Linked DNA regions of Ovis aries. The protein of the gene in region 1 interacts with the protein of each later gene in a pairwise test. Links are inferred from orthologs where the notes say so. Each region holds a gene or a part of one and is shown on either strand. Other genes may lie near its edges.

Region 1 (4,180 bases):
TGGGGGCCCGGCCTATGGAGACAAATGACACACCGAAACTGTCATTCCAAGCCACCACTGCTTCCTGGTCTTGCCGGAGGAAGGAGTCACAGGATGGGGAGGTGACGCAGGCTATGGATCTGTGCAGAACTCGGCTCTATAAGGCCTTAGCCCGAAGACCACAGATTCTTTGAAAAGTAAAATTTCTGGATCATTATCACTTCTTTTCGGGCTTGGAATGGGACAGACACTCGTAGGGCGACGCTAGGAGTGAGGAGAGGTTAAAATCGGGGGCAACCTTGGGAGGTCAGAGCCCAAAACGCAGAGTGCGCTAGGTCCCAAGACTAGGCAAAAATCTGTTCGGGTGGGAGAGGGCATCACACCACACAAGCAAACATCCCCTCGACCTCAAGGCAGCAGGAGACCCAGAGCATGAGGGGTTGTTTCGTTTTGTTTCAAATGTTTTTGAAAGTGGAACGGACAGGTAGACTCCAGAGAGCCAAGGTGAGGCACAGCGGAGGGCTCGCGGCACCTGGGCCTCTCCGGGACGCATTGCTCACTGAGTACATCCTTCCAGAGTCTCCGCGGCTGGGTCCCACAGCCGCTCTACCAGTTTACCTCTCTGTGCCTGGCCGCTGAGAGATTGCTTACCCGGAATCCCACCCACACTTCTACCACCGATTCGAGCCCAGGTCCGGCCGAGGCGACCAGAAGGCGCCACCGTACAGGTGGCGGTTCAAACACGCCGCCCGGGATCACCCGCACCTCGCCACAGCCGCAGGCCGTGCTTCCCCAGAGCAAGCCAGTCCTGGCTGCGGACAATGGGGTCCCGGCCGGGGTCGAAAGGTGACCTGACCAGCGCCCCAAGGGTCTGGCGGATTTGGGAAGCCTCAGTGCAATAGGTCTGGTGCGCTTCCGGATTATTCTACTAGCTGAACCAGAGCCCGAGGACCCGATCCAGACTAGAGAACTAGGCCTCTGCGGCGTAGTTCGCGCTGCCCCGGGCAGGAAGGTCGACGCCTGGCTTCCCCAGGTTGCCCCCCAAACGGAGGTGCTACAATCAGGAGTCAGGAAGTAGCGCTGGAAGAGTGGGACGGAGACCCCAGAGGACCTGTCGCTTTAGCCCGCTTCACAGGAACTTAAAGCAGACCTGGGACCCGGGCTAGAAGAGTTCAGGGAAAGAAAGAAGTTAGAGCTAGAGAAGTCTCCCGCTTCTCTCCCCAGGGACCCACGGCCTGGGCCGGGAAAACTCGGTTTGCAGGGAAGGCGACAAAAGGGAAAGAGCCGGGGCCAAGGGAGAATGGGACTCAGCTGTGGCGACTCTGCTAGACTGCAATGGTGAGTTTTCAAAGACTTTCTTCAAACTTAGCACTTTAGCTGGGTTACTTCGGAGGAGGCGGGGGAGGGGTGCGGGGCCGCCGCGGAGCTCCGGGGTCCTCCGCTCAGCAAGAGGGGAGCCAGGTGGCTTCCCAGCCCCGCCCCCCACATGCCAGGGACCGGGGAAGCGGGGACCCATTTGAGGGGGGCGGGGGGCAAGAGCCACGACGCGTTCCCAGAGTCCCGGGCGGCCAGCGGCTTTCTCCTTACCTGCCCTCAGCTGCCGGGGCCGCTCACCATCTACCTCTCGCCCTCACACAGACCCTCTGGACGGCCAACCTGCAAAACAGAGCGGCACAGGAATTACCGCGGGCCCGGGCGGGGGGTCAGGGAGCCGCGGGATTTCTTTCTTTCCCCAACTTCCCTCCTCCCTTTCTCTTTCTTTCTAGTGGCTTTGTGCGTGTCCTTCCAGGTTTCACTTTATTGCACAGACACTTTGTTTGCAAAGCCCCACACGCTCCCGACACAGTGCCTCACCCGGGACCGCACCGAGGGGGCCGCAAGGAGAAGGTGGGGGTAAGAGGGGCAGAGCTGGGAGGTGGCTCGAGGTTGCCGTGGCACTCCGTGCAGCGTGGAGGCGGTGGGGGCTGGGGAAGTCCTGCAGAGGCACTTTGCAAACTAAATAAATCAAGCGAGTTACCTTGTCGGAGTGGCTTGTCTCGCCGGGTTGTTTAGGTGATTGGAAATGTAGCCTGATGAAGATTGATCACCTTTCTACTGCCCTCCCCGGGTATGTGAACGCGAGGTGAGTGCGTAACGGGGCTAGGCTGCCAATCCCCGGCCCCGCGCGGGCTGAGTGACAGGGAGCCGGGCAATGGCAGCACGAGCCGGGGGTTACCTCCGCGCTCCCCCGCCCTCCCCCGCCCCCTGCACCCCGCCCTCACCGCCCGCCCGCCCCGCCCCGGTCGCGCGCTAACTCCGGGGCTAGACTGGCAAACGCAGCGCAGAGCAAGACGAGCAAGGCGAGCGCCGCGCGGGAGCCCGGGCCGCGGAGGGAAACGCTGGCCCTGAGGTTGCCCCGGGGCTCCCCGCCCTTCTCTCGCCCTTTTGGCGCCCTGGAGGGAGTGGCAGAGAGGAGGCGAGGTGCTGGAGAACCGGTTCCCTCGCTCTCTGGCACGCCACCCGATGGGCGCGAGGAGCCGGGAGCTGCGGGCTGGAGGGGAACCGGCCTCCGGCCCCTCTCCCGACGCCGCGGGCCCCAGAGTCTTCATGCACCGGGCCATCCGCGGGCCCCAGAGTCTTCATGCACCGGGCCATCACCCGCAGACGCACGCGGCGGGCAACTCGTGCTGGTCCGGGCTACTTTGCTGAGAGCGGGAGCAGACCCGAGCGCGCAGATCCCGCCTCGGCGCCTCAGGACTCCAGTGCCCTTGAGCCGCACCCGCAAGGGAGGCACGGCCACTTACCTGCTCTTCGACGTCTCCTGGAGTTTCCAGTCCCCACGATAGGTGTTTGCAAATCCTGAAAGCTTCTTTTGAAATGTCGGCTCCCAGCGTCCCCTCCCCTTTACACATACACTGTACTTCTGAATCAAAAGGTTTGGATAGAAAACTTTGTCTTTCACACTGGCTCCTTTTACTAGGGGACAATCTAGTGGAAAACGTGGCCACAGACTCTGCCCTCAGTTTCCTTCCTTCATGCCGCCGGAGCCTCCTTGAGCGATCTCCCCGGATAGTTCGTACTGGCGAAGCCCATTTCCCAGTCGAACAAACTTCTCAAAACACGTCTACCTGGGTGGACTTTTCAAAGCGCAAAAAAAGTGTTTGCGCCCCAACGCTGAGTAATGCAATTCTTTTAAATGGCACCTCCTCCTGAATATTAGGCCGACTTTACTTACCCCCTTTCGAGGAATTCCTACCGCTTCTTCTTAATCTCCCCCCCGCCCCCTCCCCTCCACCTCAACAGGCGGAGTGAAAAGTTTGAACCAGAGTAAGTGTGAGGGCGAGTCTAGGAGCCGCCGGGCGCTTCGCAGTGGGGAGCACCGGCGCTGCGGGGCCGCGGGGTAGGGCACCGAGAACGCACCGGGCGCGGGGCGAGGAGGTGGCGGAGAAGGACGGGGGAGCCCGCTGAGTGAAAAGGGGCCGCGGCCGCCGCTCATCAAAGTGCTTCCCCTCCCCCAAGCGACACTTTCCTTTGGAGTCCGAATAAAATACGGTAACAGAATATGATGGAGGGCACACTGTTTCCTTAACTGCTTCTCAAAGAACCCGGGAGATCTTCTTAGGACCTTTAATAAGGCTTTGGTCGGTTCTTTTGTTGATCTCTCAAAATCAACTCCTTCTAATTGAAGTTGGAGCTGAAAGCGAGCTAATGTTCAAAGAAAGTGGCCGCCAGACTAACGAAATTACATTTTTTTTTTTTTGACGATGAGGGAACATCTAATCAAAGGGGCAAAAGAGGAGGGGTGTGGGGGGGGAGTATGAAGGAGAAAAGGTTTTACAAGATCCTTCTCTGGTTCACAAAAGTCAGCGACACGGGCGCTTCTCTCCAGAACAAAGACACCGCGGCCCATTCACAAAAGCAAGAGAAAGAGAGAGCGAAAACAATAAAAGAATGAGAGAAAAGGAAAAACACGAACAAGATAAAGCCTTAACAGGAAAAGAAACTGCGCAGAGCGCAGCGCTGACTCGAGTGGGGACACATATTAGGCTCGCGCAGGCCCCCGCGGGGGAATAGTTCGCGAGGCCCTGGGCTCCGAGCCCCCGAGATGCGCAGAGATTTAAAGCTAGAAACGAAATATAGCCCCCGCCTTCGGTTCTGGGGAAAAGCGCTGACTGGAGCGCACTAGTTTGTCGGGAAGAGTTGGCCGGCACGCTGGGCGCAC
Region 2 (3,648 bases), on another chromosome or scaffold:
GATACTATGAGAAAAGAAAAATCCAAGAACAGCAAAATAATCCCTCTCTCTTGCTGGTAACAGGCCGCTGAGCAGCCTTCATTCTGCAAGCTCTCTGAAGAGAGTTTCTTTATGGGTATTATACTCCATTCTTGAAAATTCTTGCAGTGACTATCACTGAGCCAAGACTTTGATGCAAAACGCCTGTACCCTGGCTTCCCTGTTGCTCTTTCCTTCTGTTTCCTAAAAAGGACAGAGTAACTCCTTAATAATAGATGGGGTACTATGCTACATGGCTCTATTAATGATGTTTCTGGGTTTCAAACCTTATTCCTGTCATTTATTATTATTATTTCTTTCTGAGAGTGTAGATTTTTGAAGCTGGCAATAGGCAACCTCAGGGCAAAGAAAGCTCTGTAACACATCTCTGTCTAGACATACACTGAAGTGTGGAGTAGTGCCTTTACTTTGGAGTGTGCGAATAAATCATGCAGAATTGTTCATGAATGATTCATGGCTGTCTATATGATGTTTCTGGGGTGGTAACGGAAAAGCACCAACCTTGGTGCAAATTGGTGTTCTAAGGAAAGGCGGCTTGATGCGCTCCCTCCTATGATGCTGGCCTGGCTATTTGTATCATAACACAAGTGCAGTGTATGTGAGAAGTGTCAGGTCCAACTTGTCAACACATTAATTTTGGAAATGACAGTTCTTTCTTGATGATGGGAGGTGCTTCCAGGGAGGAGAGGCTTGGCAATTTTAAAGGGAAACCCAGTGAGTGAGACTAGAGAGATGTATGCCCAGAGGGCAGACCTGTGACCATGTGGCGGTGGGGCCTTACTCCATTTGAATCTCAGGTCTTCTGATCCTGCCTGTCCCCAAGGGCTCGGAGGCTCCTTGAGCCACAGCCGCAGCCAGCTCTTGCCTGGCAGAAAACCACTCTCTACTGATTATTCTAGACCACTGGTTCTCAACCAGGTGAAATTCTGCCCCCTCCCAAACACCTTGGGTACATTTGGCAATGTTCAGAGACATTCTTTTATCACAATTAGGGGTGCTGCTCTTGGCACTGAGTGAATAGAAGACAAGAATGCTGCTCAACATCGTAAAAAAAGCACAGGACAGCTCCCAGTGACAATTGTCTGGCCCCAAATGTCAATAGTGCTGAGGCTGAGAAACCTTGCCCAGGAAGGCATCACTCTGCTGGAGTTATGGCCAAGGCCAGGTAGGAGTGGGAGCAGAAAAGGACAGAACATTGATAATGAAGATAACCTTCAAGGTTCCTCAAGGACCCTACCAGATCTGTGTCAGGGTTTTCAAGACAGGAGAGTGAAATAAGCGACTAGCTATGCTGTGTGGTTTCAGAACTGCTCAGTGTGCACTTGAATCGAGGTGGCATTAGATACCCTGTGTGTGTGTGTGTGTGTTTTGTTTTTTTTTCCTGTTACTATACTAGCAGCATTGCCAGGGCAACCTTGAGACTCTTCAAAGGTTCACTTTAATTGCTTAATATCTAATATATACATTTAAAAAAATGTTCAACAAATGGAATTGTATTGTGCAAGACCCACTCTACCCTAATCTTTAATTTAAATCAGCACTTAAGGTGGAAAGAGTGTCCTGAATCTGTGTTTTAGTCAGAGGGCTGAGTGGTCATTAGTATAACATGGCAAACACAGTCTCATACCAGAAAAACTGCCTGTGTACAAGTACTGGCTTTCAGCCAGAACTGAACTCAAGAGCCAAAAGTGTTCAGAAGGCTTCAGATTCACAGTGGGGCTGTTCACCCTGGTTCTGGTATTTATTGTGCCAGGTGACAGAGTGGGTTTAGAGTGTGTTTTGTTATAAGCTGAAATTAAATTCAACATCATGAGAAAGCCTAGTGTTTAATGTTGCAGTTTTGGATACCTGTCTCCCTTTGGATTCTTTAGTCAAGCTCATGGTATTCTTCACATATTAGTTTTTGATTGGCAGTTTCAAGGTTTTGTGAATGAAATGTGTGGTTTGTAAGAATCGAATTGTGAGCCCTCGCATAATGCACGGAGCATCAGTTCCCCACCTAGCCCAGCAGTGGACCCTCTCAGTGCACCTCTCTCTTCTCCCCTGCACGGCAAGATTCACTCAAGGGGAGTGATTGGCTGCATGTTTTTGCATCTTCCTAATCAGGAAGGGTCCTTACCCTGGCACCGCTTACTGGAAGCTAGTTTGACACAACTCAAAACCTTCCTGTGCAATTAAATTTGGCCCCTTAGACTCTAAAGAGCAAAAAAGGAAGTACTGCAAGAGAAAAATGCCATGTTTACAGAAGAGTAAAAGTGGAGTAAGTCGGTAGATGGTGAGCTGGCAGGCCAGAGGTGTCACCAGAGAAGAAGCCTGTTCAAGGCTATTTCTTTCTTTTTGCTCCAGAAATCCAGTGGTCAAGTCACCATCAAGCAAGGATAATTACAAAAGCGGTTTCAATAGCTGTATACTATGTATATTTTGTATAGCAAGAAAGAAAGAGAGAAATGTCCTCTTAGTAAAATATTCACTTTTGTCAACCCTAAAAGGTTTTGCTGGTGACCCTGTTGTAGCTGGCAGGAGTTTGTTTGTTCTGTCTTGTTTTGAAGATGTGCTGTGTGGAAGCCATGGCCTCGTCTCCTAAGAGCTCGTCGTCGGGTGGGAATCGCCTCTACACAGTCTGCTTGCCTTGGCATTCGCGTTTTGAACACTGAGCAGGCTTCCACCAGTCCCCATTGTGACAGTGACAGATGTTACATTCATCCACTTTCACTTCAATGCCAGCCGGAATGATCGTCGTTCCTGCAAAGCAGTTTGGACCTGAAACACATATATAAGCTGATTAGTTGATTAGGTCTGAGAGACTCCCTTTTTTGTTTCCCTCTCCCACCTCAGTTAAAAAAAAAAAATCCAATCCCCAAAGCCATGAATGAGTAGGTCAGACTACTCTTACCAGCATATCTTTAAGGAATTTTCTAGTCATCTCCCTTAAATGCAAGCTTTTAACTTCTGCTATCTTTTGCACAGAGCTCTTATTCTACATATGTGTCATGCATTAAAAAAAAAAAAAAGTACCAATGCTCAAAAGAGAAAAAAGTCTTAATATCTGTTACTGAGTACAAGCATTTTTTCTAAAGTAAGATATGGATTAAAGTCTATTTGCTTTATTCTCTGAGTGTTAAGACTGCCAGAGTGTCCCCTGAAACCTGAATGAGGGTCTAGCATGGTCAGCATCACTGTCTGTGCCTGTGGCCTGGCCTTTCCCTTCCCAGAGTAGGTATGAGACAGTGAACTTGCTCACTCCCTGGTTTCAGCACCTCCCCAAGTCCAGGGATTCCTGGAATCCCCAGCCTGTTTCTTGATAATAATGAATAATTCATGACCAGATGATTTATTCATGTCCCAAACAAACTTTGTTAGAGGTTCATTTGATTTTTATAAAAAGAGTTCTTTTAATCTGCTGGCTATCTAATATATATATATTTTAAAGAATGACTCAAAGGGCTGGCTTTTGAAAGTCAGCAGGAATTTTACTTTTTCAGATTCAGAAAAACTTTGCTCAAAATGTCACTTGCTTGTTATAGATAAATGTGTTTAAAATTCACCAATCTTTTTTTCTTAACTTCTTGTCTTTTCCCCCTTTCCCTTACTTTCCTTTTATTTTCACTC

Evidence for each region. The genes of interacting proteins can lie anywhere in the genome.
Region 2: the proteins of OTX1 (region 1) and VWC2L interact in binary tests that used the Homo sapiens proteins (3 or more experiments, as listed by UniProt). The two-hybrid records come from large-scale screens. The link is inferred for Ovis aries from reciprocal best matches to the Homo sapiens genes OTX1 and VWC2L.

The regions. Positions count from the first base shown.
Region 1 is NC_056056.1:45,201,440-45,205,619, forward strand, and holds the start of OTX1 (homeobox protein OTX1), read right to left. Parts: upstream 2,872-4,180; 5' UTR 2,763-2,871; intron 2,076-2,762; exon of another isoform or gene 1,997-2,075; intron 1,636-1,996; 5' UTR 1,567-1,635; intron 13-1,566; 5' UTR 1-12. UniProt on the Homo sapiens protein: Probably plays a role in the development of the brain and the sense organs. Can bind to the BCD target sequence (BTS): 5'-TCTAATCCC-3'.
Region 2 is NC_056055.1:216,577,651-216,581,298, reverse strand, and holds part of VWC2L (von Willebrand factor C domain-containing protein 2-like), read right to left. Parts: intron 2,800-3,648; coding exon 2,651-2,799; 3' UTR 1-2,650.